6 linked regions of the Xenopus tropicalis genome follow. The protein of the gene in region 1 interacts with the protein of each later gene in a pairwise test. Links are inferred from orthologs where the notes say so. Each region holds a gene or a part of one and is shown on either strand. Other genes may lie near its edges.

Region 1 (5,201 bases):
CTGCCATAAAAATGGTTGATTCATAAATACTGACTTACCATAAGTTTATTTTGGCTGCTATCTAGATACAGTAGCCTACAGAGTAATCCAAATACATGAGGCTAAAATACAGGATTGTGCTAACTAGCATTATATCTGTGTGTTCAAGGTATGGGACCTGTTTTCCAGAAGGCTCAGGGTTCTTTCCATAATGTATGTATGTATATCTTTATTTATAAAGCGCTACTTATGTACGCAGCGCTGTACAGTAGAATTCATTAATACAGACAGGGGGTTAAAGATAATGGATAAATACAAAAGATAATGGATAAATACAAAGTACAACAATAAATACAAGGTGCAGTTGGAATAAGAGTCAGAAACACAAGATGAAGGAGGTCCCTGCCCCGTAGAGCTTACAATCTATATGGATCTATAATTTGGATCTTCATACTTTAAGTCCACAAAAAAAAAAATAATTAAACCGTTAAACAAACCCAATGGATGGTTTTACCACCAATATGGATTCACAGCTTAGCTACCATCAAGTACAAGGCACTGTTTCATAATTACAGAGAAAAAAAAATAAAATTATATGGGTAAAATTGAGTCTATGGGAGATGTCCCCTTCCATTATTTGGAGCTTTCTAAATAAATGGTTTCCAGATAACAGATCTCATACCTGTATCCGACATCTGATCCAGTCAGTAAATGCTTTCTTTGAGGATCCCTATGGGTGCCATGTGTAATCTAATGAAGCAACAGAACATTGTATTTCGTACCGAAAACTGCTAGTTCACTGAATGTTTTGGAACTATGAAAATTCTTTCATCTCATATTTTGTACAGGGAACCGCTAGTTCACAGAATGTTCTGGAACTATGAAAATTCTTTCATCTCATATTTTGTACAGGGAACCGCTAGTTCACAGAATGTTCTGGAACTATGAAAATTCTTTCATCATCGTATTTTGTACAGAGAACCACTAGTTCACTGAACGTTCTGGAACTATGAAAATTCTTTCATCACAAGGGTGTTCTAGAGCTGTTGGCGCCATACTCCCTACCAGCTGTATTCCTATATGCCACCTACACATTGTTTAAATACCATTGTTTGAATGCATGCAGTATAATTACGCAAATACAGCAAGCAGAAAACCATAGACGCCTGAAGCTTTCGGTATATTAACCACAGACAGTGCTTGGGGTTTTGTGGACAAACTATTTTCGTAAGCAGTGTAACTGAAGCCCTGGAGATATTAAAAGCCATGTTTGATGGCTGATAACAGCTGTACTCTGTCTGAGCGCTCTGATGGGACATCATCCCACACAAATTCTAAAGGCTTGGCAGCTGACTGTATACTTTTTGTAGATGCGAGGGGTTAAAATTAACAGCTTATGTGTCCAAAGACAGGACAGAAACAGTGAATGTGACACAGGCAGTTTGCATCTTGTTGTAAAGAGAAAGCACCTTCCAAAATATTTGGATGGAAGTAGATGTAGATGCTGGCACTCATACTCACACACATACTGTACATGTATAAAGGCTGCTACTGAATGGAAGAACATACTGGTGTTTCTTATTGGGGAGTCTTTGGCAGCACCTGAGTGATGTGTGTGTTTCACACTACCTTACAGCCCCAGGAGGCAGCTATTAGGACCAAACAAGAGGTAAAGAGATTAAATTACATTAGATCCCCTAACATATCTAGTATGGAATTATCCTAGAATAAATAAAAGTTAAAGACAAGAGAAGACAATTTTTTTGGCCACTAACCATTCCATTTTAGCTAGGGCAGTCTCATGTTTTGGGTTATGAAATGGTCGCAGGCTTACTGAAAAGTGGGTGGAGTTATGGGCAGGTTTGGGTGTGGTCTTGTGGAGTGGAAACATGGCCACAAATATCCCCATTTTTAATCAGCATTGGCAGGAATGTAAGCGGATGTTTGGCAAAGTGCCACTGACACACCCACTAAAGTTTATTGCTTACACACTGGGAGGAAAGATGGGTGATCACAGTGGGTTTTGAAAATGAGTCGATTAGATAAGATATGCCTATAAGCTATTTTATTGGTTCTCTAAAATGTATGGCAGCCAACTTGTTTCACAGCATGAAAAAAATTATCAGATTATAATGTCGGGGGGAATGAATAAGCAGTAGAATGTTTGAAAAATGTTTTAACTACTAGGCAAGACTTAAAGAAACAAGATCTGTTCGATTTTCTTTTACTTATGATATAAAATCAAATTGCAACAGTGTTTTGGTTTGCGCTGCCTAAGCTTAGTTTTCCAGCATTCCGTGTATCCATTTAAGGACTGTAAAGGCTGCAGTGATGGAAACAGTGGGTTCCGGACCGGTGCTCCATGACTCTTATAACCAAATGTTATTTTATAAGGATAGCTAGAATCTCAGCCATAAGGCAGAAGTAACAGGATATAGACATTAAATGCAAACATAAAGATAAATAAAATATTTCTAAAACTGAAATAAATCACTGTCACAAGAAATCCCTATACAGTGATCTAAAGTATTAGAACAAACACTATAATGATTGCATCCCCTGTAAAGCAATAAATCTTTGTCTAAAGAGCTTACAATTTGTGTTAAGCATTTGTTAGTGACTTGCTATAGTCAGAAAAGCAAATGAAACCAAGGTAATGTGCCTATTTCAGGAATAGGCATCTTGCCCCCTTTCCCCCATAATTCTTGCTGAACTACAACTATCAGAATCCCTGCGCTTCTGCCTCAGCTGAAACACTACAGTTCCACTGTATTTAAACTCACAAAAATATATCATTGCTATAAATAATGATAAAGATCAATATATTTATTAACAACCTTGATGTGGCCGAAACATTGTGTATGTGGAATTTTCTTTACAAGATAACTAAAATGAAATCCAAGCAGGTACATGATATTTTGTTTTATGTGGCATAAAGATCATTTAAAAGGAAATACAAAGAAGCATTAAAGGGCAAACAGAAATGGCGTACAATGCCTAGACAAACCTTACACACCTGTAGTTCTCAGATGGGGATCTACTGGAACATTTTGTCTTCAGAAGGCACTTTCAGACCTTAGGTGAGGGGCACAGAGATCCTTCGTTCACTCCTCTCAGATAATGAAACAAACTGCTCCTCAGAGGAGAGGGAGTGACAAGTGTGGAGGTGACAGGACAGCTGAGAGGCAAAGGCTGACACAGAGAAATCGGAAACTTTACAAGCAGCCATAGCACGGAGGCAGTAGGCCCAACCAGGAATTGGAGAGGTGGCTGAGAGGTGGGAAACTGAGGAAAGCGCAGGAGTCATTTCATTCCTGGGAGTTTGTCACACACACAAAACAATTCCTATTTTTACTGGAATTCAACTTGGAAATGATAATATGTTTTGGTTTTAAATGTGCTTTTTTTTCCCTCTTTCCCACTAATGAATATGAAATGCCAGGAAAAGGCTTCAGGCCTGTTTGTGGTTTGGCAGAAGGAATTCCAGAAGGGAGGCAAACAGAAAGGTAAATTATTCAGAAGAAAGAAAAACATCTATAAAGCTTAGATTGCTTAGATTAAATTGCTCTGTGAAATACTAAAGGTTATGTGTTGGGGAATCACCAGTTTATATGCTTTGTGTAATATAAAAATGGCAGTCAGTATGCTAAGCATTGGAAGATATTTTACCCAACACATTCACTGCATTCCATGGATAGAATTCAAGAGACTCAAAACATTCCAACACTGGCTCTAAACATTCTGTTATAATAATTTCAGGAAATGTGTTTCACCTTTAAATTAATTTCATGGGATGGCCAATTTTTAGCAACTTTTCAATGGTCTTTTTATATTTTTTGTATCATTTTGTGCAGCTTTCAAACGGGGGTTACTTATCTTTCTATTCATCCACTCTACTATTCATATTCCAGTCTCAAACTACTGCCTGGTTGCTAGGGTAATTTGAAACTTAGCAACCAGATAGCTGCTAAAATTCCAAACTGAATAGCTGCTAAACAAAAAGCTAAATGCATTGAAACCACCAATAATAAAAAATGAAGACCAACTGCAGATTGTCTCAGCATGTCACTCTCTACATCATACTAAAAGTTAACAGTGGCGTAAGAATGGAGGAAGCAGACCCCACAGTCACCAGGATGGGGGGGGGGGCAGGGGACAGGGGGGCCCGGACCACAGGGGTTGCTTCCTCCAGTACTGCATATAAATCTCTGCTCCGCGTCAGCTTTCAGGTAAGAGAACAGGCAGGTGTGGGGATTCATATGGGAGTGGGCACAGAAGCCAATTCAGGGGGGCAGGGGAGTCTCCAATGAGTCTCCTTGATGACCAAAGAACACAACATTCTATTTTTTTTTTTATTCTGTTCAAAATCTGGAGAATTATTCTCATAGCATAAAAAAGTGTACATTTTATTGTGACGCTCTTCCGTTTAGTGCTAATGTGCAGCTAGATTTGTTACGGGGGGGGGTTAACTTTCTAGAATGGAGCAGCTATAAGTTTATATGTGTTTCCAGCACCAGTTTGCTCGTCTGCTGATGCACCATGCGCAGGGCAACATCTTGATCAGCAGATGGAATAGTGGTACAAATGATCAACCAGTGATAATAAAAACAATTAAATGTCACCCGTTTAGAGGAGGCACAGGGTTGTCACCCTATTATATATGGCAGAGCATCTTTCATACAAAGAGCAGATAATGGGGAAGCCAAACAAACCACACAACATGGGTTTGACCTGCTGAAGCTACAAGTCAGTAACAGTTAGAGGGCTGCAGGTATGTACTGAAACTTTGTATCTTCACTGTCTCTGCTCTACCCTTACACTTACCCTGGCCTTGGATGTTCCCACACCATGAAACTATTAAGGGGAAGTATTACCCTTTTTCTCTAAAACAGACATTAAGGGTCTCTCTGCTAATTAAGAAATAGCTTTTGCATTTCATTTAACAATTTCAGTTAACAGCAAGTCAGCAGCACATTTATGTTTCGGTCTATAAAAAACATTAGATCTCTGCAACGGTGAGAAGTGGTACTGCAAGTCAGGGCTTCATGGCGACCCATTTAATAATTGTTGGCTATACACCCGTTTATTCACACACAGGCTTAGGGCGAAGACACACGGAGCTACTAGTAGCAGCTACTTGTCACGGCTACTAAAATAGACAATGCTGATCATTTACTGATAATTGTCTCTATGGGGCAGATTTACTAATCCCCGAACGGGCC
Region 2 (5,050 bases), on another chromosome or scaffold:
AGCATAGGCGGAGGGTGACTTTTTTTGTTTGGGGAGGCTAAAGATGGGCCATACATAGACTGATTTAAAGCTAATGTGAGAAGTAGTGGATTTTCTTCTGGTTGGCAGATATTGATGGCAGATATTCAGGCCCTGGCACTATAACACTGGCACTGAAACACAACATTGGTTTGTTTCACAGCTATGCAGTCTCATGACGGCTTCACTGTAACTAACGAGAAATGAACAAAACACTAACAAAAGTAAGAGAAAAAGTAAGTGCAAAAAACAACAACAAATATATTAAAGCACAATGAGCTTTTTCAGGGGGAAAGAGTTAATTTAGGACTGGAGTAGGGGGGTTAGGAAAATTACAGATGCCAGATGACAAAAAACTATTTCATTTCAGCTATTGATTCAGCCTTTAGAAGATATAAAGTATAGTACCTGTGGAATGAAGAATTGGTGAGGTTCTTAGGTAAAGTTACAGCCTGCAGATTCATCTAAACAGTCTTCATTTCTGCAGTGCCTACATCTGTACCTTGATTGGTCAATGTTACTGTCTGTCAAGAGAGCTGTGCTCTGATTGGAGAAGCCACAAGAAGATCCAATCAGAGCACAGCTGATTACAACAGAACCAGAGCTTGCAGGAAGGAGGAATGCAAGAAGATTTCCCCAATGTTCCAGAGCAGTGCAGAAACTGATTGATTTTTTTTTCTATTTTAAAGGTGCAGAGCAGGTTTGGGGAGACTTAGCCTCCCCTAGCCTTATTGAAAATCCGCCTATGCACAGCAGTGCACGATTTGTTACTGAAGGCAGGATGGACTGAGCGGCACTGAGCACAACTATAGGGAGCAGCAAGAAGTGCATTTAAGTACCTTAAATGAAAGTGGCTTTACCCTCAACTGACTGTGGGAAAAAGTGCAAGTTGCCTGCTGTACTTGCGGATATAAATGAACCTTTATTTGTAATCACTGTGCTCATCACCTACTTTTTACATGAATGACACCAATGTTTCTAGCCATCTACTGATGACCATGGTGAGGGACAGATGTAGACAGAATACAGTGAGAGGCATATTTAATATAGTGTGTGAGCCAATATTACTGGGGATGTTGCCCATAGTAACCAATCACAAATTAGATCTGAACACCTAAAAGTTAGAAAACAAAGATCTAATTGGTTGCTAACATGTAGTTGTCTGTTCAAATCTAATTGCTAATTGGTTGCTATGGGCAACATCACCGGTGATGTTGGCTTACATACTAATAAATATACCCCTTAATGTATACTGTTGGATAAATGTTAAGACTTTTTTACAGGACTGATCTGGGCATGGAGGCCTGCATCATGCTTGGCATTAATAGTTTTGAATTGTCAGCACACCAATTACTGATGCTCCAATAGTGATGGCTGTTCTAAGAGCTGTAGTTAAATGAATACATGCCTCATATCCCTGACTGCTACATGATTTCATATTAGGTAGCTTCCACAATAAGCAACCAATCTCCTCATACCGAAAAAGAATGTTCCATGCATACCATATGCACTTATTCTGTACAGTCTAACTGAAAGTTTCACACCACATGTTTTCAGATGCTTTTTCAGTGTACGACAGGACTTACAGGAATATGTGGCAAGGTTATTGTTACTTCATCTCCTTTGCCAACCTGAAGTTCCCCCTCACAAGAAGTGTCTATGGATGCTGGCTTGAAATCATCTAAAAAGAACATAAGGTATTTAATAGCGTTGAATATAAAGAAGATTAGTGAATAATGCCCTCATTTCCAGTCATGTGTAAAAGAAAACAAATTACCTACTAGAGTGTAATTCACATTTAGAACATTTGTATATCAGTATTACAGAAGAAAATCATGAAAAATACAGCCTATTTTTTTTCTTGCATGTAGGTTTGGTTTACTGTGAACACAAAACATGCACTATTGTCATTGTATTTAATGAACAGTAATAAACTTCAGCACCACGTAGCTGCCTGCGCAGTACTATGCTTGGCTGTTATAAGCCAGACTTTATCCAGTGACAACACACAGGATTTTCTTTGTGTGATTTTGCCTTAAAACCAGTTTTTCATCACAAAAAAAAAAAAATTTCAGTGCAGCCCCCTTCATCAAGTGAAATACAACAAAAAGATATATATTTCACCTGACAATAGGGTTGCCCTCAAAACTTATGTTATGATGTTATGTGATTAATAAACTTTGCAAGGCGATAGCCTGTATGGCTGCCCTTCATGTGCATTATTGGAACTGTAAACACGTGATATCTGTCATCAGTCCATAAAATTATAAAGATTTATGGGATTTGCACTTTGACAAATGTGCTTCTTTGCTTCTTTTCAAATATAACATATTTATCTGTTATTGAACCTACACACTGTAAGTTTAAGGGCAGCAAGACATAAAATTTAGAATAAAGGTCTCCCAATCATCTTTAACCCCTTTCCACAGACGTGAAGCCACAAATAAGCCCCGCCCCATACAGGTGTAGTTGTGTGATGTCATTGTACTCACAGCGCACTGTGTGGAAAGAAGAGCGGGGCCTCTTTTCGAAACTCTCACCGAGGCGAAGGATGTGCTCCTCTCGGTCCAGCGGCGGTGGGGGTGGAGTCCCGTTCATTGCTGAAATTCCAGCTACTACAAGAAATCTTAATTATGATTCTCAATAAAATAATTAAAGCTGGAATAGCCGTCCACAAGTATTTTAGTTAGCGCAGGTGCACGACACTAACCCGCAATGGGATTATCACACCAACCGTAGGGAATAGAACCTGTCACAAATTCCACACCCCACCTTCAAATATTTATAATAATAACCCAGCGCAGGTTATAAAAGCTCATGCTTAAAAGAACAGTCACCGCACCAAAAAGCCCACGGATATGTTATATACCACAGATCAAAATGAAGATCCGTAGCAGCACAGTGTTAAAGATGTGACGCTGTATCCATCTCTCCACGCCCCCTCCGCAATGTTGTGAATGTTATGTCTGCAAGTCTAAAAAGAGATACCAATGGTGCAGTAATGATAAATTATCCAGAGTCCACCACTATTATACTCAGGAAGAGTCATTCAAACAGCCTCTCTAAAGACATCGTTCTCAATAATTAAATACAGCTCCGTCACTTGCTCCGCCCTCTGCTGATTTACTGCACCCATTTCTCCAGTCTCCGAGCACTTCCTTACTACGGGTCGTCAGTAAGGTCAACCTTCTTCTGATCTTGCTCATGTAAAAACCTGCCAAATTCTAAAAAAGAGATGCAAGCTTCAAGCGTGACAATCTAATCTTAGCTTCTGCTGGACCTCCTTTCCTTTTTTTGTTTACTGCTGAGTTTCCTATTACATGCTGGGTAATGTAGTTCCTTTAGCTGTTTGTTACTATTCATAGTTACATAGTTAGTTACATAGTTACATAGGGTTGAAAAAAGACCATTGTCCATCAAGTTCAACCCATCCGAGTAAACCCAGCACACAACCTATACTAACCAATCTATACACTCACATACATAAACTATATATATACAACCAGTAATACTAACTGTAGATATTAGTATCACAATAGCCTTGGATATTCTGCTTGTTCAAAAACTCATCCAGGCCCCTCTTAAAGGCATTAACAGAGTCTGCCATTACCACATCACTAGGAAGGGCATTCCACAGCCTCACTGCCCTCACCGTGAAAAACCACCTACGCTGCTTCAAATGGAAGCTCTGTTCCTCTAATCTATAGGGGTGACCTCTGGTGCGCTGATTGTTTTTATGGGAAAAAAGAACATCCCCCAACTGCCTATAATCCCCTCTAATGTACTTGTACAGAGTAATCATGTCCCCTCGCAAGCGCCTCTTTTCCAGAGAAAACAACCCCAACCTCGACAGTCTAACCTCATAGCTTAAATCTTCCATCCCCTTTACCAGTTTAGTTGCACGTCTCTGCACTCTCTCCAGCTCATTAATATCCTTCTTAAGGACTGGAGCCCAAAACTGCACTGCATACTCAAGGTGAGGCCTTACCAGGGACCTATAAAGCGGCAAAAATATGTTCTCATCCCTTGAGTCAATGCCCTTTTTTATACAAGACAGCACTTTATTTGCTGTAGTAGCCACAGAATGACACTGCCTGGAATTAGACAACTTGTGATCTACAAAAACCCCTAGATCCTTCTCCATTAAGGATGCCCCCAACACACTACCATTCAGTAGATAGTTTGCGTTTATATTATTCCTACCAAAGTGCATAACTTTGCACTTGTCAACATTGAACCTCATTTTCCAGTTTGCTGCCCAGTTTTCCAATTTTGTCAAATCGCTCTGCAAAGCGGCAGCATCCTGCATGGAACTTATAGTTTTGCACAATTTAGTGTCATCAGCAAAAATAGAAACAGTACTCTCTATGCCCACCTCCAGGTCATTAATAAACAAGTTAAAAAGCAAAGGACCAAGGACTGACCCCTGCGGTACTCCACTAACCACACTGGCCCAATTAGAAAATGTTCCATTTACCACCACTCTTTGTACTCTATCCTTCAGCCAGTTTTCTATCCAATTACAAATATTATGTTCTAGGCCAATATTCCTCAATTTGATCATTAACCTTCTGTGCGGTACTGTATCAAACGCTTTAGCAAAATCTAAGTAGATGACATCAACTGCCATTCCAGCATCAAGGTTCCTGCTCACCTCCTCATAAAAGGCAACTAAATTAGTCTGGCAAGATCTGTTACGCATAAAACCATGCTGGCACAAACTAATAGTATTGTGAACTGCAATGTATTCAACTATCCTATCCCTTATTACCCCTTCCAGAAGCTTTCCTACTACTGATGTCAGACTAACAGGCCTATAGTTTTCAGGCTGAGAACGAGATCCCTTTTTAAATAACGGCACCACATTAGCAATCCGCCAGTCTCTCGGCACCATGCCAAACCTCAACGAATCCTGAAAAATTATGTGAAGAGGCTTGGCAATCACAGCGCTCAGCTCATTTAATACCCTGGGATGAATCCCATCCGGTCCTGGACCTTTGTTTACCTTTACATGTTCAAGTCTCTTTTGAAT
Region 3 (4,222 bases), on another chromosome or scaffold:
AAATAGGAAAAGTTAATTTAAAGGGGAACCGCCTCTATAAGATGCTGAGATGTTGTTGTCATTGCAGACACCTTGTCGCCCGCGTCGAGTCCGGCGTCCGTCACCTTCCCCGCGGCTCCGGGGGGCGCAGAGGACGTGTCTTGCAAGTCGCTGAACCTCGAGTGCCGAGTGTGCGGAGACAAGGCCTCCGGGTTCCACTATGGGGTTCACGCCTGCGAGGGGTGCAAGGTACGGACTACTCTTTATGCTCAACTTCCCCTTGAATCTGAGTCGGCAGCCATATTGTGTGTGGCCCCTCCCAGGGGCTTCCTCTATAGCCGCTCTACTCGCCAAGGTTATGCACGCCCCCTGCTTAATATTTGTAGAGTGGGAGGGGGCGGCGGCTAAGTACCTGCTACAGATTTTCTTGCAGGGGGGCCCATTGCATTCTGGGTACGCCACTGTGGTGCCCAGTCGGCTAAATACTCGTTATCGGGATAATTGGCGGTTTCTTATTCTTACGCATTCCTGTTGCCGACGGCTCAGACTTACTCACTTGTCTTATATGGATTCTCCCCTCTGTGTCCCCCCCCCGGCAGGGCTTCTTCCGGAGGACGATCCGCCTTAAACTGGCGTACGAGCGCTGTGAGCGAATGTGCAAGATACAGAAGAAGAACCGCAACAAGTGCCAATATTGCCGCTTCGAAAAGTGCCTTAATGTCGGAATGTCCCACAACGGTGAGTTCCCCCCCCTGGGTAAGTGAATCCAATCCCCCCCCAGTACTTACCCAGGTACAGAGCTCTGATTCTCTGTACTTCCTGCTCCTGGGCTGCTCTCTTTCCCATGGTCAGGCAGGAACCTCCCCCTGGGTAAGTGAATCCAATCTCCCCCCAGTACTTACCCAGGTACAGAGCTCTGATTCTCTGTACTTCCTGCTCCTGGGCTGCTCTCTTTCCCATGGTCAGGCAGGAACCCCCCCTGGGTAAGTGAATCCAATCTCCCCCCAGTACTTACCCAGGTACAGAGCTCTGATTCTCTGTACTTCCTGCTCCTGGGCTGCTCTCTTTCCCATGGTCAGGCAGGAACCTCCCCCTGGGTAAGTGAATCCAATCTCCCCCCAGTACTTACCCAGGTACAGAGCTCTGATTCTCTGTACTTCCTGCTCCTGGGCTGCTCTCTTTCCCATGGTCAGGCAGGAACCTCCCCCTGGGTAAGTGAATCCAATCCCCCCCCAGTACTTACCCCGGTACAGAGCTCTGATTCTCTGTACTTCCTGCTCCTGGGCTGCTCTCTTTCCCATGGTCAGGCAGGAACCTTCCCCTGGGTAAGTGAATCCAATCCCCCCCCAGTACTTACCCCGGTACATTCTCTCGTTCCCAGCGATACGATTCGGGAGGATGCCGCGGTCGGAAAAGGCGAAACTGAAGGCGGAAGTGCAGACGTGCGACCAGGACACTAAGGACGCACCAATGGGCGACCTCCTCTCTCTGGCGCGGCTCATTTACGACGCGTATCTGAAGAACTTCAACATGAACAAAGTGAAAGCCAGAGCCATCCTGACGGGCAAAGCCAGTAATCCGGTAAGTGCCCGACCAATCGAATTCCAGTTCGCTACATTGTTTCAGGAGTCGGAACACGTCCTGCTGATTTGAATCTGTCGAGTTCACTATACAAACATGGTGCAATCGCACGAGTACAGAGTCCAGCGCTCGCTCGTTATTAACACGGAGGTCAAACAGGTTGGTTAAACCCAATTATTTAGGATTTATGACGCCATCTGCTGGTTGGTTGTAGTATTACATGAACATTTTTTATAGGGCAATTATTGTAAAGGGGGGGTTGTTCCCCTTCAGATTAACTTTTAGGACGATGTAGAGAGTGCTATTCTGAGACAGTTTGCAGTTGGTCTTCATTTTTTACTATTTGCAGCTCTTCAGCAAACTGGTTGCTAGGGTCGAGAAATAAACAATGAAGACCAATTGAAAAGTTGCTGGGAATAGGCCATTCTGTAACATGCTATACTCATCTATTGGGCAGTTTTCCCATCAGCCCTTGTGCTATTGGGGCTAATATGGGTCACTGGGGAGAATCGGTTCTGACCATAGAGTTTGTCCGCAGCCGTTTGTTATACACGACATGGAGACGCTGTGCATGGCCGAGAAGACGTTAGTGGCCAAACTGGTGGCCAACGGCATCCAGAACAAGGAGGCGGAGGTGCGGATCTTCCATTGCTGCCAGTGCACGTCGGTAGAGACGGTAACGGAACTGACGGAGTTCGCCAAATCCATCCCCGGCTTCACCGAGCTGGACCTCAACGATCAAGTGACTTTGTTAAAGTACGGGGTCTACGAGGCCATGTTCGCCATGTTGGCGTCCGTCATGAACAAGGATGGGATGTTGGTGGCCTACGGCAACGGTTTCATCACGCGGGAATTCCTGAAGAGCCTGAGGAAGCCCATCGGGGACATGATGGAGCCCAAGTTTGAGTTTGCCATGAAGTTCAATGCCTTGGAGCTGGACGACAGCGACCTGTCTCTGTTTGTAGCGGCGCTCATTTGCTGTGGAGGTAAGTGAAGGGGTTAATGAGTGATTCATTGGGGGTGGGGAGGAAAGGAGATCTCACCATCAGCATAGGAAGGGGTTCCTTACTGTAAGGGCAGTCAGGTTATGGGGTTCCCTACCCAGAGAGGGGGAATGAGTGATACATTGGGGGTGGGGGGGAAAGGGGATCTCACCATCAGCATAGGAAGGGGTTCCTTACTGTAAGGGCAGTCAGTTTGTGGAATCCATAACTCTTGTTCCCTAACCCCGCCCCCCAGACCGCCCGGGATTGGTGAACGTTCCCAGCATAGAGAAGATGCAGGAGAGCATCGTCCACGTCCTGAAACTCCACCTCCAATCGAATCACCCTGACGACGGCTTCCTCTTCCCGAAGCTGCTGCAGAAGATGGCCGACCTGCGCCAGTTGGTGACGGAGCACGCGCAGCTGGTACAGACCATCAAGAAGACGGAGACGGACGCGGCGCTGCACCCGCTGCTGCAGGAAATCTACAGGGACATGTACTGAGCGCTCGGCCGCTTTCTCCTTTAAAGATTTTACTTTTTTTTTTTTAAAGATTTTTTTTATTTTTCCATATTTTTGGACGGGAGCAAAATCAGCAGAATTGGGGCTTATTTACTTGTGCCTTCTCCTCCAGCCATGGCAACGCTTCCTACAGCCTGCACTACAGTTCCTGGGGCGGGCTATCTGCCCGGGGGGGCGGGGGCAGACTATCTGCCCGGGGGGTGGGGCAGACTATCTGCCCGGGGGGGTGGGTCAGACTTACTGCCCTGGGACGGGGGTCAGACTATCTGCCCTGGGACGGGGGTCAGACTATCTGCCCTGGGACTGGGGTCAGACTATCTGCCCTGGGACGGGGGTCAGACTATCTGCCCTGGGACGGGGGTCAGACTATCTGCCCTGGGACGGGGGTCAGACTATCTGCCCTGGGACGGGGGTCAGACTAACTGCCCTGGGACGGGGGTCAGACTATCTGCCCTGGGACTGGGGTCAGACTATCTGCCCTGGGACTGGGGTCAGACTATCTGCCCTGGGACGGGGGTCAGACTATCTGCCCTGGGACTGGGGTCAGACTATCTGCCCTGGGACTGGGGTCAGACTATCTGCCCTGGGACGGGGGTCAGACTATCTGCCCTGGGACTGGGGTCAGACTATCTGCCCTGGGACGGGGGTCAGACTATCTGCCCTGGGACTGGGGTCAGACTATCTGCCCTGGGACTGGGGTCAGACTATCTGCCCTGGGACAGGGGTGAGACTATCTGCCCTGCCCTGGGACTGGGGTTAGACTATCTGCCCTGGGACTGGGGTTAGACTATCTGCCCTGGGACTGGGGTCAGACTATCTGCCCTGGGACTGGGGTCAGACTATCTGCCCTGGGACAGGGGTCAGACTATCTGCCCTGGGACTGGGGTCAGACTATCTGCCCTGGGACTGGGGTTAGACTATCTGCCCTGGGACAGGGGTCAGACTATCTGCCCTGGGACAGGGGTTAGACTATCTGCCCTGCCCTGGGACTGGGGTTAGACTATCTGCCCTGGGACTGGGGTTAGACTATCTGCCCTGGGACTGGGGTTAGACTATCTGCCCTGGGACTGGGGTTAGACTATCTGCCCTGGGACTGGGGTTAGACTATCTGCCCTGGGACTGGGGTTAGACTATCTGCCCTGGGACTGGGGTTAGAC
Region 4 (4,494 bases), on another chromosome or scaffold:
GTAACACCACACATTTTTTTTTTAATGAAAGGGGATGTTAATATTCTAATGTTTGTCTGAATGTGAACAGCTCATGTAATGAAAAACATTTTTCTAACTAATCTTCATTTTTAAAAGTTAAAGGAAAACTATACCCCCAGAATGAATACTTAACCTACAGATATTTCCCTTTTAAATCTTTTTCCTTGAGCTGCCACCTGCCAGGAAATAATGCAGCTGTAACAGGAAGTAGTGTGGGAGTAAAAGACAGAACTGTCCTTATTAATTGGCTGATGTGACCTAGCATGTATGTGTGCCTTGGTTTGTTTGTGTGCACTGTGAATCTAATGATCCCTGGGGGCAGTCCATAGTACTTAAAAGAGCAATCTTCTATTTAGGATTCTCCAGTGGCACATACTGCCATATCTTTATGAAAACAGTTTATTTACATGAAGCAGGGTTTGGATGTATAGTTTTGCTTTAGGCCTTTTCTACTATTGCAGCTACTTTTTGTTGGTCAGTTTCTCCAATTTCAACTAAGGATGGGAGCCACCAACACCCTGATTGTGACCTCATGTCCTGCAAACAGGATGGCAAAGGCGTACATTTAGCAATTCAGTATGTCCCTTTAATTTGCTTGCTATTGATCCAATTGGCTGAATCATACCATCAAATCATAAAAAAAATATATATAAAAATTAATCCAAATGGAAGCTCCCAAACCATTCAGTGGTGGGGGAAATTAAACGGGATGTGCCAACTTCTGGACCAGCAAAGAGCAGTTGTAGTGGGAGATAATGTGAAAATGCTATTAAAAGTATATGGAATGGCCACCTAGTGGAAGAGATGAGAAAACTAGAAAGGATTACACACATTATACATAACAGAAGCAGCATATATTAGAAAATATGGGAGCCATGGCTCTCTTTTTTTAAAATCTAAAGCCCTCATACAAGCTTAGGAATGCTATGCTAGACTACTGCCTAGACAAAAAAAAAAAACCCCTTCACAATAGGTTTCCAGATTCTTAACAATAATTAACTCGCTGTCTTGACTTGTCACTGGGTTTGTCTGATGGGCAAAATTTGTCTGATGGTCATCCCTACCCTTTTGTACCCCTCATTTTTGTTTGAAAACTGAACATCCACATTAAAGTTTTTTAAAGGGGTGGTTCACTATTTCATAGAATGTACTATTCTGAAAAAACACAAATTAATAAAATAAAAAATAAAAAAATTAAATTAAAATGAAGTTAATTTAAAGTTAATTTAGTTTCTGCTGGAAGTAACGGTCTAAGCAATTGATGATCAAGACACAACTTCAATTTTTAAGTTGAATTTCTGTTGCCACTAACATTGTAGCTGTGAAACAGGGCCAGAGGCAGAAGAAGCAGGTGTCTAGGGTGCAACTAAGGGGCTCCTAGTATCATGCATCTGCTGCCTGCAGCACTGAGAATGCAAGCAGTTGGCAAGTAGGTTGGGCAGACATGGGAGCGTCTGAACCTTGGGCACCTGTAGCTCTTAACCTGGCCCTACTGAGAAAAACATAATGCACAATACAAGCCATACATTTGGTTAATAAAGCGGTGACTGCAGGGAAAAAAAGAAATACTATGGGGCAGATTTACTAGTCCACGAATCCGAATCCCGAAAGGGAAAAAATTGTATTGGAAACTTTTTGCGACTTTTTCGTCGCCCTCGCGATTTTTCGTATCTGTCGCGACTTTTTCGGCACCGTCGCGACTTTATCGTATTTTGTGCGATTATTTCGTCGCCGTCTCGATTTTTTTGTATTGCGCGATATTAAACGCCGGAAAACCCAATCCGATTTTTTTCGTGACGGCGACGAAAAAGTCGCGGAAAATATACAAAAAAGTCGCGACGGCGACTAAAAAGTCGCGAAAATACCGATCATTACGAAAAAACGCGTTCGGACGCTTTTGGTCTGTTCGTGGATTAGTAAATCTGCCCCTATATGTTGGGAAATTAAATGTCTTGGCATTCTACCACCTTCTCTACAAGGTTACCCTTATTGTTCATTGGCTGTTACTCTTACTTGTTTGAAGAGGTGAGGCACTGCATCACAGTATACCTTGCGGAAAGTGGGATGACTGGACATTTCAAATCGCTTCAGGTCTTAAAGAAAGATATACAATAGTGAGTTACAAAATCTAAGTCCTCTGCCCTTCCACAACACAATTCAAAAAGTGACTGGACAGAAGCCTGTATTGTATTAACCAAGAACCAAAAAACCTTAGCTGGGAAGGATGCAATAGATATATTTCTATACAACATTTAGGAACTATATACAGAAAAAAATTACCTGGAGGTTTGATATTATGGCCAACCTTACGAGCCCATCCTACAGGATGGATCAAAGGGCTGGTCATGTGGCACCAGAAATCATCATTTTTTTCTCCATCCTCATACAAAAGCCTCATTCGACCTCCAATTACTGTATCCACCACTGCCGATCTCATTCGTGACATCTTCATCTTGTCTACAGCCTCCAACCGCATGCCCTGTCTGAATGGGCATCTGAAGCTCTCTGCCATCTGAACATAATTTTTCCTGAATTAGTAATTAATACCAAAGACAGAAGGCGGAGACTAAAGAATGAAAGAAAAGCAGTAAAAGCTTCCCAGGACCCAGAGAAATATACAATCCCTAATCCGGGGGCAAGATGGACTCATTCTTATCTATATTATTATTCATAATGTAAATGGGCAATTACAGACTTTACCATTATATCATCAAGGTGCCCCCAAACACCTCCCTCCTAGTGGTCCAACCCTATTGGTCCCACTTGCTATCCAAGGATCTTAGAAACACATGCCTCTGTTCCTTCTTCACAAGTCTATATATGTAAACAAGGGACAAATACACATTTCTGCATCTGTTTAGATAACCTTGACATGGAAATCCGCAGGTATGGTATGGGAGCCGACCAATTTCTTCATAAGGTATTCTCTCCAGTCTGTAAACTTTGAAAGGATGGCTGCAAGGTAAGAAAACATGTGAAAATCATCTTCAGTTTCTGGGTAATTTGAAGTTCTCTTTTTTGCTTTCTATACCATGTGTTATAGGTATTTTCTTTTGTACAAGATACTAATTAAGGGGCTGGTTGACTTTCAAATAACTTTTTGATTGGACTTTTTCTTTTTTTATAGATAGTTTCTGAATTATTTGCTTTCTTCTTCTGACTCTCACCAGATTTCAATTGGGGGGGAGTCACCGACCCCAGCAAAAAATGCTACAATTAAGTACTTATCGTTATATTAAGGCCATCTCCTATTCAAATTCCAGCCTCTCATTAAAATCAATGCCTGGCTGTAAGGTTAATTTAGACCACAGCAACCAGCTGAATATAAAGCTAAATAACTAAACAAACACAAATAATAAAACAATTATCACAGAATAGCACTCTCTACATCATGCAAAACATTATTTTAAAGACAAACAACCCCGTTACGTATCCACATAGCCTAATATGAGTTTGATATCCTGGGCACAGAGGTTTTGCCCAAGGCCACAATAAGTTGAGACCATGATTACCAATAACAGACCCAAACCCCCAAGCCCACCAGCATAAAGAACCAGTAATATCATATAGTGAAAATGTATTTTAGAAGATACAGATCATTTATATACGGGTACTGATAATCTTATTAGGCACTAAGGCATTACCAGAGTCTGCCATCACAGCATCATCCGCAGGGCATTCCACAATCTCACTGCCCTCACCGAAAAGAACCATGGTAAAAGCACACATTTCAGGATTAACAACTCCGCTCAGGAAGCCTCATATACATCTGTTGCCTCACCCTTTCAGTTCTCTCCATAGACATGACTGGAAGTACAGCTGTCTTTAGAAAACACCCATACTAACACACACAAAACTTTTTTTTATTCTGTGAAATATTTCATACACTGGGGTGGAACCAATATTTTGCTGTTTACTGCACACCATCCAATGGGATGAATTTCCACTGTTCCCAAGTTGCACCAGTAGTTATGGCTCGAGTCTTCTTCAAAACCTTCATACTGAAGTAAAGCCTTGTAACCTAAAGGAATAAGCATTGCAGTTTTAGGTACATGCAAGAACATATATCATATAAAAAATTTGTACATTATGTATATATTATATATATTATTATCGGAGTAAGGCTGGTGCATATTTTTATATTAGACGGGCTATGGCACACATCAGAAGAGAATCTGCCCCATGCGGAAGTTGATTTATTTTCTTTTGCAGAATTCCACAGGCCACAGAGAAATATAAAAAAAAAAACAGATGGACAGTTGCAGTTACAGTCCTACCTGCTATCTTGACAACTGAAGAAATCCAATAGACACGACTGGGAAGAACAGCATCCGTATTTAAACTCTCTACCTTAATCCCCTCTACAATATCATCCCACTGATCACAGAGAGGAACCTGTGCAGAAAAGGAATTCAGTGACTGAAGGTACAAAACACCCATGATGGTATGGCATTAGGCCAAACCCCCTACATT
Region 5 (5,195 bases), on another chromosome or scaffold:
AAGGTACCGGGAGTGCTGGGAGTCCTGACCAGAGAGTACAGTACAGTATCAAGTTCTCAGGGAGGGGAGTTACGGTCCAATCTGTCCCTACTCTGGGTGGAGGCACGCCGGATAAGGGATCTTTCCATAATTTGGATCTCCATGCCCTATTAAAAAATCATTTAAACCCAGTAGGATTGTTTTGCCTCCAATAAGGAGTCATTATATATTAGTTATGATCAAGTACAGGGTACTGTTTTATTAATACAGGAATAAAGGAAATCATTTTTAAAAATTGGAATTATTTTCTTGTAATTGAGTCTATGGGAGACAGCCTTTCCGTAATTCAGAACTTTCTGGATAATGGGTTTCCGGCTAAGGGATCCCATACCTGTATATATAAATATATATGTAGCCCACTTTTGCTATGTGCCTTTTCTCCTTTGAATGGCTGCCTCCATGGCTACATAGCAGCTTATTTATATAAATTATAGTAGACTTTCTGAAGTAAACACCCAACTTTTACCAGTGCAGGGCAGCAGCACATTATATTTTAGCTACTTTTATACACTTTCATTTTTTGGTGTTACTGTTCCTTTAAGGGCCTCCTTCTGGGATCATAGGATTCACAGTGCACACTAACAAGCCAAGGCACACATACACATGCTAGGCCCCATCAGCCAATTAAAGGACAGAGTTCTGCCTTTTGCTTCAACACCTCTTCCTGTTAAGCCGGCCATACACACACTAATATTATTGTACAAAACCTTGTTTCGTACGATATCTGGTACATGTATGGCGGCTCAAAGAGGCGACCGATATTGGAGAAGGCTGCGACTCGTTGAAAGGTTAAAAGATTTAATGGCGGCCGAGCAAAATCTACTTTTAGAGCTGAATCGCCAGGTGGAGGTAGAATTCCTATTGTTTCTACCTCCATATCGGACGATTCAGCCCTGAACATCAGTGGAGGGTGGAACGCACTTGTGTGTAACCAATGGTCACATGAAAGATTGGAATTGCTACGTGTATGGTCACCTTTACAGTTAGAGCTGCATTATTTCTCTGTGATCTCTGAGGGAGCGCATAGCCCATCACTAAATGGTGGCTCAAGGGAAAGGAAGCAAATGGGGCAATATTTACTGATATATATATTCCAGTTTGGTAAAATTTTTTACTAGGTCACTTAACACAATATAAACTGCTGTGTTGGTTTAGTATTTATTCTTGGGGTATAGTTTCCTTTGCCAAAAATTCCAAACTACATTATCACCTATGAGTTTTAGACCTTCCCTTTACAATCTTTACATTTAGTTCTACCTATTGTAAAAGCAATGGACGTTTGCGTCTGTGAATATTTGTGCTATTATTCTTCAAATTCACGTGGCAGTTCACCAAAGCGCCCAAATGACCCAAGTATCACGATTCCACCGCCCCCAACTATGCCCCTCTTCTAGCCATATACGGCTATGTATACCTCTAGCACGGGCAGTACATATGCTCCTCCCACCTAAAGAGCCTCCAATCTCCAACTGAAGAAGCCAATAAATCCTGACACAATCTAGGCATAACATTGCCCCGCCCCCTTTATGCACGTCTTAAAGTTTCAATACCCCCGTCCGTACCAAAGCCTTATTTAGGTATATTCATAATATATGTACCCTGAGCCCGTCGGGGCCCATCGCTTTACTTACGCCTGTCTACGAGCGATCAGCCGGTGCATGGGGGTAGCCATGTCGAATAAGGCCAATAGACAACCCACTGCATGCCGGGAAACTGCGCGCTGCAAGAAATGACTGACTCTGTGACGGAAAGGCGTTATTTGCGTGCGGGCGATCGGCGCCATGATTGATGAGGGCATATTCCACACATAATGCAAAATAGTACAAAGAGGATGGAACATATTTTTATGTTTGCATTTTGTGTATATTTTGCAGGGTACCATGACATTTTCATTCTTTCTTATTTTGTTGCTCTGTGAGATAGTGAAAATGCTTTGCTTTATATTATAAGTAAGAACTTAATAGGTATGTTTTTGCACACATGCACCCTTCACTTTTCTAAATTGCCACAGGTCTCTGTGTACCACATGGCAGACTACACTGTTAGAGCTGTCATCCCTGGGAGATGTCTCTCTGGAAATTGTTATGGCATGTGCAGTGTGCCACCAATCTGGTGTGGGTGTGTGCCATTATTGCACATGCGCACAATGCACATGATGTCACTGAATGATCACTGCGCATGTGGGCGATATCGGGCGAATTTAGGCAAATTTGGTAATTTGGCCCTGGGGCCAAACGATCAAATTAGAACAATGGTAATAGCCACAGTTAGTTCAGGGACAGCATCAACAAGCCGATGTAGTGCCCGATCCAACTCAATTTTTCAACCTGCCCGATTCTGCTTAGATGTCAGTCGGGCAGGCCCGTTGTTATTGCCCCTACATGGGCCGATAAGCTGCTGAATCGGTCTAAGGGACCTATATCGGCAGCTAGAATCAGCCCATGTATGGCCACCATAACTCTCCCTACTCTTCAGCATACTCCCAACAGCTTTCTAAACCTACTCACATAATCTCTACCCAATCCAGTTGGTCTGCTCAGCCCTGCCCTTTTTGTGCATAGCTCCTCCCCTCTTAGCTCTGCCCTCACCACCACTGCACAGACCCTTATCTGTAAAGGCCAGTGTTGTCGACTGCAAAAGGTGGCAACCCTATCTGGCAGCAATGGAGGCTGGCTGTAAGCACAGGTCTACCTTGTGTCTGCCAGCACTGCACCTAGAGCCTGATCTCCAATCTAGTACTAAATGCAGAGAGTAACCAGACCCTGGAGACAAGTACTTTTTAAATGAGCACTAATGGGAGCACTTTTGAACCCTGTGCTCTACTTGTGCATCTAAAAACACACAACGAAATATGAATGCAATGAAATGCAACTCTGAAATCAGTTAGCTGATGTGCTCAAACCTGCGTGTCAAATGCAGAAAAAATACCTGTGTGTAAGAGCCCACTGGTAGCCTAATTAGTCAAGCCTATTTTGTTTCAGAAGTGCTTATGGTTGCCTCCTCCCCCCCTTTAAGACTGAACAAATATTGCTTGAATCCTGTGTGAATAATTAACTGATCTTTCAGATGTATACTGGGAAACTGTACAGAAACCAGTTTAGCCTGCAGTTTGCCGGAAAGTCTAGGATAAGCTTCTGTTATTCTCTGATAACGCATTGGCCTTGCCACAAATCTAGTCCTTAGCTCTGCTGAAAGTTACCTGTAGGCTGAAGAGAGGGAAGAGAAGGGAAGGTGCAGTCTGCAGGTCAAAAAAGGAGTGTGGCTTGCAAGGGCCTATCACATGGGGGCCCAGGTGATTTGTGGGCTAATAATTGGTGCCCCATGGGGGAATGGCCCTGCCTACTTAGTAGTATGTAACCCCATGGTTACTGATGTCAGCCCTGTACCAACGTTTAAAATTAAAGCAGAGTTTTTCTTGTATGAGTTTTATTAAAATGCAAAAGAAGGTACAAGTAATGCCTGACAATATAGAATAGCAGTAACACTTTGCCACAACACAAAAAAGCAGATGGAGAAAAGACCATCTGTGATATCATGCAGAAATGTAGGATAAGACTGCAGGAGAGAAAAGGGAAATATGCAGCTTCCATATGAATATAAACAGATCTTCCTGGAGAAGGAACTGAAAAGAAAGTAACAGAGAATGGAAAACAAAGCCCACAAAGGGGAACAGTGTGCATTGTTCATGATGCCAAAGGAATGCAAGCAGTCTGGCAACTTAAGAAAATGTCCAGGGGCAAAAAAGCAAAAGAACCTTAACAATAAAATAGCTGGACAAAGAACTTGATGAATACATATCCAAGAAAATGCATGAATGACCTTGATGCAGAGCTGGAAAACTCGGGCAAGACCTCAACCAGGATTGATCAAGGGCAGTTAGGAGCCTAACACTGACCAAGGACATGTGGACAATAACAAGTCCAGAACAAATGGCAAATAAACTTTTATTTTAGTGCAGGGATCCCCAACCTTTTTTACAAGCAAATATAAAAAGTATTTTTTTTGTGTGAGCCACACAAGCATGAAAAATTATCTTTGGGGATGCCAAATAAGGACTGTGATTGGGTATTTGGTAGCCCCATTTGGACTGCTAGCCTGCAGGAGGCTTTACTTGGAGTAAAACTACGCCTCCATGCTTCCAAAACTTACCTCTAAGCTAGAAATGAAAAATAGGCACCTACTTTGAGGCTACTTGGAGCAACATCAAAGGGGTTGGTGAGCAGCATGTTGCTCACGAGCCACTGGTTAGGGATTACTGGTTTAGTGCATACAGAGAACTTGCTTTATCCTTTACTATTTTGTGTTTGTTGAGGTTAATGCTTTTAAGTTTTGTTTATATTCCTGTAACATTAATGTTTGTGGAAGGAGTGAAAGGAGTAACAGGGCCATGCATCAGTAAAACAATACCCAAAGACACAAAGGTTTTGTGTTTGTGTAAAGGTGGCCATACATTGTAAGAGCCGCTTACCGGCCCACCTAGGGCCAAAAAATCTCATTTAAACAGTGGGCACAGGTGCTTTCGGTTCGGGTACCGCATCAACAACCCGATGCAGTCAATGGAGAAATTAAACCTGCCCAATCGAGATCTGGGCAATTTCATTCCAGATGTTGGCCAGGGAGGCCTGTCGGTGGAGGCCATACACGGGCAGATAAGGCGCCGAATCGACCTTAATCGTCCCGTGTATGGCCACCTTAAAACTGGTCATACACGTAAAGATTTGCACATAAAGATTCACTTGTTTGGCACAATATTTCCTCAATATGCCCATATTGAGCTGGGCAATATTACTGAGCACTAAGCACTTCAGAGTTTCATAACCTGGAACTCCTTGGTGACTTGTAATATCCTTGGATTTTACAATAGGGGGTACATTATTCACTACATAATACACTAGTCATAAATATCCTGTAAATTATACAGGCATAGTACCTGTTATCCAGAATCCATCGGTCGCACGAAACATCGTCAGATCCGCCACACACCCTTCAGGGCTGAATCGGCAGGTAAGGAGGTAGAAACAATGGGATTTCTACCTCCTTCTGCCGATTCAGCGCTGAAGGGAGATTTTGGTCAGGCGCCTTCTATGGTGCCCGATCAAAATTTTTTAAACTGGTTCCGATCGGCGAGTCGGTCGATATCAGCAGCTTCCTGCGAT
Region 6 (5,254 bases), on another chromosome or scaffold:
GAAGTATGAAAGGCAGATGAGAGCACTTGTCAGGAGATTGCTGCTTTCAAATGAAATGCAAATAAAATCAAGAGAGGCAGAAGGAGGCTGTGACATTGTTCTCTACACCAGTGTTTTTCAACCTTTTTTGGGCAAAGGCACACTTGTTTCATGAAAAAAATCACGAGGCACACCACCATTAGAAAATGTTAAAAAATTTAACTCTGTGCCCAGCAGCAGTGCCCCCCTAGTACATTGGTGCCCAGCAGCAGTGCCCCCTAGTACATTGGTGCCAAGAGCAGTGCCCCCCTAGTACATTGGTGCCCAGCATCAGTGCCCCCCTAGTACATTGGTGCCAAGAGCAGTGCCCCCCTAGTACATTGGTGCCAAGAGCAGTGCCCCCCTAGTACATTGGTGCCAAGAGCAGTGCCCCCCTAGCACATTGGTGCCAAGAGCAGTGCCCCCCTAGTACATTGGTGCCCTGCCTACGGCACACCAGGCAACAGTGGTTGAAAAACGCTGCTCTACACTGTTGGCCAGGGCCCTTGCTAAAGCCATAGCCAGATCCAAGTATTGTCCTTTAAAAAGGAAAATCATTTCTGTTCAGGTCCTTTAGAGCCCAAAGTTAACAGACGACTGAAACAGAATATACAGCAAATGCTTTAGACAGAGTTCTCTATTTGGTTGAGGAGGATATAAAAGTTTACATTTGGCAACCCTTTCCTTTCTGACAAGTTTTATCAAAGGCCTCTCCAGTCATGGAAATAAAAAGGTTACTTTTTTTAAAGCGTAAATTTAATGAGTTTTAACCAGACCACACTACTTTACACAGCATGCAGCACTATCGAAAGGCACAGCATAAGTGACCCATTTTCACTGTTGACAGCATTTTCTCTTTAGACCTATGGTGCACACAGCATCATACTGGTATGAAGTATCCATATTCAGGGCGGGACCATAGTGCCCTCCTTACACTCACAAATGACTCATGAATCACTAATAGAATGACATGCTTATATCTGGGGGACACTTGCTACTAATAACCACTTTTATTAAAAGTGAATACAATCAAATATGCCTGTGGCAGAAAGGTGCTGAGAGTTAGACCAGTCATGCACACAGCATGTTAAAACCTGTTCATAACACCCATCATGTTTACAGGGTAACCCTTTTGAAATAAAAAATAACAAAAGTGGTATAAAGGTGATACCTTTATTGGCTAACTAAGATAATCATAGCAAGCTTCCAGAACATTTTAGTTCCTTTTTTCTAGCCAATAAAGGTACAGGTATGGGATCCCTTATCTGGAAACCCATTATCCAGAAAGTTCCGAATTACGGAAAGGTCATCTCCCATAGACTCCATTTTAATCAAATAATTCACATTTTTAAAAATTATTTCCTTTTTCTCTGTATAAATAAAACAGTACCTTGTTCTTGATCCCAACTAAGATATAAGCAGTGGGGGATTTTTGGTCCCATTTAAAAACTGTTGAAGTCACACGGAGCTACTAGTAGCAGCTACTTTTTTACAGCTACTAAATGCCAGAAAATCCCCTGCCATAGACAATACTGAGAATTGCCTCTGCTAAAAAACATGTTGAGACTGTTATCCAGGGCTGTGGAGTCGGTAGAAAAATTCTCCGACTCCTCAGTTTCTGATACTTCCGACTCCTCTGTTTTTAATATGCGAATGTATTTTATACATTCATACAGTCAGTGAAAAGCATGCTTCATGGTCACTCAACGTGTTAGTTTATGCACTGCGTGCATTGGGCTTTATTCTTATAGCAGAGAAGTAATTAATTATGACTGTTTGTGAATTGGGACATTTAAACTTGCTTTATTTTTTTTTTTTTATTCCCATTTAAATTTAGTAGGAGTCGGAGTCGGTTCATTTTTTGCCGACTCCGACTCCAGGTACCCAAAATTGCCTCCGACTCCTCGACTCCGACTCCACAGCCCTGCTGTTATCAGTAAATGATCAGCATTGTCTACTACAAGTAGCAGCTACTATTAGCTCCATGTGTCTTCACCCTAAGGGCTCTGGTACATGGGGAGATTAGTCGCCCGCAACACGGGAGATTTGTCGCGGGCGACTAATCTCCCCATGTACTAGAGCCCTAAGGGTACAAACCCACTGAGTGAGTTAGGAGAGATCTATCACATGTGAGTAACTGCTTCGAAAAGGCTTTCCACAGGTAACAATAGAAGTCGCTGGTGGAAAGCCCTTTGTATCGTTTCGTGTTCCGAAGTTGCACAAAGTTTCCTCCTGCAGGCAACTCTGCGTGAGTAGTCCTTTTTGGAGCAGCTACTCGCATGCGATATTGTGGGCAAGTAACTCGCTCGGTGGGTTCTTAGCCTAAAGCTGGCCATACACGGGCAGATCCGCTCGCTTGGCGATGTCGCCAAGCGAGCGGATCTTCACCCGATATCACCACCTACGGGTGGCGATATCGGGGAGGAATTTCGGTGAATTCGATCGTTTGGCCCTGGGGCCAAACGATCGAATTCTGCAAGCAGCAATGGGGCAGTCGGTTCGGGGACCACATCAACGAGCCGATGCGGTCCCCGGTCTGACAGGATTTTCTAACCTGGCCGACCGATATCTGGCCAATTTCAGGCCAGATATCGGTCGGCCAGTCCGATCGTTTCTGCCCCTGCACGGGCCGATAAGCTGCCGAGTCGGTCCAAGGGACCAATATCGGCAGCTTCTATCGGCCCGTGTATGGGGACCTTAAGAGCCTGAAGACAAAGGCAGAAACAACCGAAAATATAAAATGAAGACTAGTTGAAAAGTTGCTCAAAACAGGCTATTCTATAACATACTTAAAGTTTAACTGAAGGTGAACCACCCCTTCAAAAGCAGAAAAAAATGATGTCCTACGTATTTTGGGGACTCGGGCATAAAATAGCGGGGGATAAAACTAATTGGGTTGGGGAGTTGGGTTGTGTGCGTACAGTGTACAGTACAACATAATGCACTTTGCAGAGACTTTACACATGTCGAGTTCAGACTCGAGCCTGTATTATAAAAGTCCTCTCTATCAAAATCAGATGGATCAGGTGAGGTAAAAAACGTGATTTATAAATCAGACTAACCTGGGACAGCCATAAGTCACAATTCTCAGCGTCCGTACACAGAAGATCGCACCCCTCAAACAGTTACTGCGCGCCTCCTAACCAATTCACTTCCTCGGAACTCAATCACAGCATGGACTTGTTTCTCAGCGGAACAGAATAAGCGGTGCGCAGTGGAACGCAAATGAAAGCTCTGGTTTCCGGGAAGTGTACTTTCGGCCACACTAAGAGAAAGGGGGGAACTAAAGCAATGCAACTCTGGTGTAATCATCCTCTGCTGTAGACGCTGTGATCTTGGAGCATTCGGGTAACAAAATACGAGCTACTATATAACTGTGGATGGGACGAGTCCTGTTAACGCTCTTTGCTGTGTCATTTTTAAATCAGAATCTTCTCTGGCACCCCTCTGAGGCTGTATGTGGGCGGTCCCGTCCTGTCAGGTTGCACGCTGGAGTTTGTTTGCAAGAAGCTGAGTAACAATGAGCAATATTTACATTCAGGAGCCGCCGACAAACGGCAAGGTGAGCAGCGGGAGAAAGTAAGGGGCTTGTAGGGCAGAAGGATAAAGGAATAATATTTAGCATGGGATTCCCATCTGCTGTTGCTGAAATATCTCTCCCAGCGCGGTACCTGATAAAGGAAATGTAAAGTCTATAAGTAAATTTACTCAATGTTTTTCTGTGAAAATACATTTCCCAGGGTAAATGTTTTAGTTTCGCGTCATGTAGCTGCCCCCCCCAGCTGTCAGCACATTGGTATAATCCACATGGGGAGCAGAGAGGACTGTGCTGCGCTTTATGGAGACTCCTCCTGCATATTCAGCCCTAGGACAGAGCTTCTGAGCTGACTAACTAATGTCCTGCTAGGAAGGTGCCCAAATGCACCAGTGCAGGCTGTCCTTTAGTTACATGAATGGGCTCCAGGCGAACCCCAGCCACATATATAGGCTATATACCAAACTAACATACCTAAACTATATATACCAACATCAATACTAACTGTAGATATTAGTATCACAATAGCCTTGGATATTCTGCTTGTTCAAGAACTCATCCAGGCCCCTCTTATAGGCATTAACAGAGTCTGCCATTACCACATCACTAGGAAGGGCATTCCCCAACCTCACTGCCCTCCCCGGGGCGTGAGGAACCCCCTACGCTGCTTCAAATGGAAGCTCCGTTCCTAAGGGGGGGCCTCTGGTGTGGTGGTTGTTTTTATGGGAAAAAAAGAACCCCCCCATCTGCCTATATTCCCCTCTAATGTACTTGTACAGAGTAATCATGTCCCCTCGCAAGCGCCTCTTTTCCAGAGAAAACAACCCCAACCCTGACAGTCTAACCCCATAGTTTAACCCTTCCATCCCCTTTACCAGTTTAGTTGCAGTCTCTGCACTTTCTCCAGCTCATTAATATCCTTCTTAAGGACTGGAGCCCAAAACTGCACTGCATACTCAGGGTGAGGCCTTACCAGGGACCTATAAAGGGGCAAAATTATGTTTTCATCCCTTGAGTCAATGCCCTTTTTTTAAGCACTTTATTGTAGCCACAGAATGACACTGCCTAGAATTAGACAACTTGTTATCTACAAAAAAAACCAGATACTTCTTTATTAAGGATCCCCACAACACACTACTATTTAGTGTGTAATATTATTACATTATTATATTATTTCTACCCAAGTGCATAACTTTGCAGTTTTCAACATTAAACCTTATTTGCTGCCCAGTTTTCCAGCTTTGTCAGCTCTGCAAAGCGGCAGCATCCTGCATGGAACTTATAGTTTTGCACAATTTAGTATCATCAGCAAAAATAGAAACAGTACTTTCAATGTCCACCTCCAGGTCATTAATAAACAAGTTAAAAAGCAAAGGACCAAGGACTGACCCCTGCGGTACTCCACTAACAACACTGGCCCAATTAGAAAATGTTCTATTTACCACCTCTCTCTACACTGTAATCTATCCTTCAATCATTTATTTATCCAATTTAAAATATTATGTTCCAGTAGTGCTGGGCGGTATACCGGTATATACCGAACACCATTTTTTTAAAAAAAAAATGATAAAAATTTTTAACTTACCGGCATACCGGTGTGGGCGCCTCCTGGCAATTTTTCTTACTATTTCCGGGTTGTGCGCGCTGACGTCGCGCGTGCAACCCGGAAATAGTAAGAAAAATTGGGGGGGGGGGGGTGTT

Evidence for each region.
Region 2: the proteins of stac3 (region 1) and eaf1 interact in binary tests that used the Homo sapiens proteins (3 or more experiments, as listed by UniProt). The two-hybrid records come from large-scale screens. The link is inferred for Xenopus tropicalis from reciprocal best matches to the Homo sapiens genes STAC3 and EAF1.
Region 3: the proteins of stac3 (region 1) and ppara interact in a two-hybrid assay, tested with the Homo sapiens proteins (2 studies listed by BioGRID). The two-hybrid records come from large-scale screens. The link is inferred for Xenopus tropicalis from reciprocal best matches to the Homo sapiens genes STAC3 and PPARA.
Region 4: the proteins of stac3 (region 1) and l3mbtl2 interact in binary tests that used the Homo sapiens proteins (3 or more experiments, as listed by UniProt). The two-hybrid records come from large-scale screens. The link is inferred for Xenopus tropicalis from reciprocal best matches to the Homo sapiens genes STAC3 and L3MBTL2.
Region 5: the proteins of stac3 (region 1) and zcchc10 interact in binary tests that used the Homo sapiens proteins (3 or more experiments, as listed by UniProt). The two-hybrid records come from large-scale screens. The link is inferred for Xenopus tropicalis from reciprocal best matches to the Homo sapiens genes STAC3 and ZCCHC10.
Region 6: the proteins of stac3 (region 1) and srek1ip1 interact in binary tests that used the Homo sapiens proteins (3 or more experiments, as listed by UniProt). The two-hybrid records come from large-scale screens. The link is inferred for Xenopus tropicalis from reciprocal best matches to the Homo sapiens genes STAC3 and SREK1IP1.

The regions. Positions count from the first base shown.
Region 1 is NC_030678.2:140,076,550-140,081,750, forward strand, and holds the start of stac3 (SH3 and cysteine-rich domain-containing protein 3), read right to left. Parts: upstream 3,095-5,201; 5' UTR 2,987-3,094; intron 1-2,986. UniProt on the Homo sapiens protein: Required for normal excitation-contraction coupling in skeletal muscle and for normal muscle contraction in response to membrane depolarization. Required for normal Ca(2+) release from the sarcplasmic reticulum, which ultimately leads to muscle contraction.
Region 2 is NC_030682.2:51,500,441-51,505,490, forward strand, and holds the start of eaf1 (ELL-associated factor 1), read right to left. Parts: upstream 3,033-5,050; 5' UTR 2,617-3,032; coding exon 2,511-2,616; intron 1,700-2,510; coding exon 1,605-1,699; intron 1-1,604. UniProt on the Homo sapiens protein: Acts as a transcriptional transactivator of ELL and ELL2 elongation activities.
Region 3 is NC_030679.2:3,236,166-3,240,387, forward strand, and holds the end of ppara (peroxisome proliferator-activated receptor alpha), read left to right. Parts: intron 1-67; coding exon 68-228; intron 229-578; coding exon 579-717; intron 718-1,360; coding exon 1,361-1,560; intron 1,561-2,098; coding exon 2,099-2,546; intron 2,547-2,799; coding exon 2,800-3,047; 3' UTR 3,048-3,253; downstream 3,254-4,222. UniProt on the Homo sapiens protein: Ligand-activated transcription factor. Key regulator of lipid metabolism. Activated by the endogenous ligand 1-palmitoyl-2-oleoyl-sn-glycerol-3-phosphocholine (16:0/18:1-GPC). Activated by oleylethanolamide, a naturally occurring lipid that regulates satiety.
Region 4 is NC_030680.2:116,007,216-116,011,709, forward strand, and holds part of l3mbtl2 (lethal(3)malignant brain tumor-like protein 2), read right to left. Parts: intron 4,417-4,494; coding exon 4,299-4,416; intron 4,043-4,298; coding exon 3,908-4,042; intron 2,977-3,907; coding exon 2,888-2,976; intron 2,534-2,887; coding exon 2,302-2,533; intron 2,115-2,301; coding exon 2,035-2,114; intron 1-2,034. UniProt on the Homo sapiens protein: Putative Polycomb group (PcG) protein. PcG proteins maintain the transcriptionally repressive state of genes, probably via a modification of chromatin, rendering it heritably changed in its expressibility.
Region 5 is NC_030679.2:37,640,120-37,645,314, reverse strand, and holds the start of zcchc10 (zinc finger CCHC domain-containing protein 10), read right to left. Parts: upstream 3,317-5,195; 5' UTR 3,239-3,316; intron 1,728-3,238; exon of another isoform or gene 1,712-1,727; coding exon of another isoform or gene 1,671-1,711; intron 1-1,670.
Region 6 is NC_030677.2:188,227,213-188,232,466, reverse strand, and holds the start of srek1ip1 (protein SREK1IP1), read right to left. Parts: upstream 3,165-5,254; 5' UTR 3,094-3,164; coding exon 3,081-3,093; intron 1-3,080. Other genes in the region: spliceosome-associated protein CWC27 homolog, read left to right, coding at 3,539-3,580. UniProt on the Homo sapiens protein: Possible splicing regulator involved in the control of cellular survival.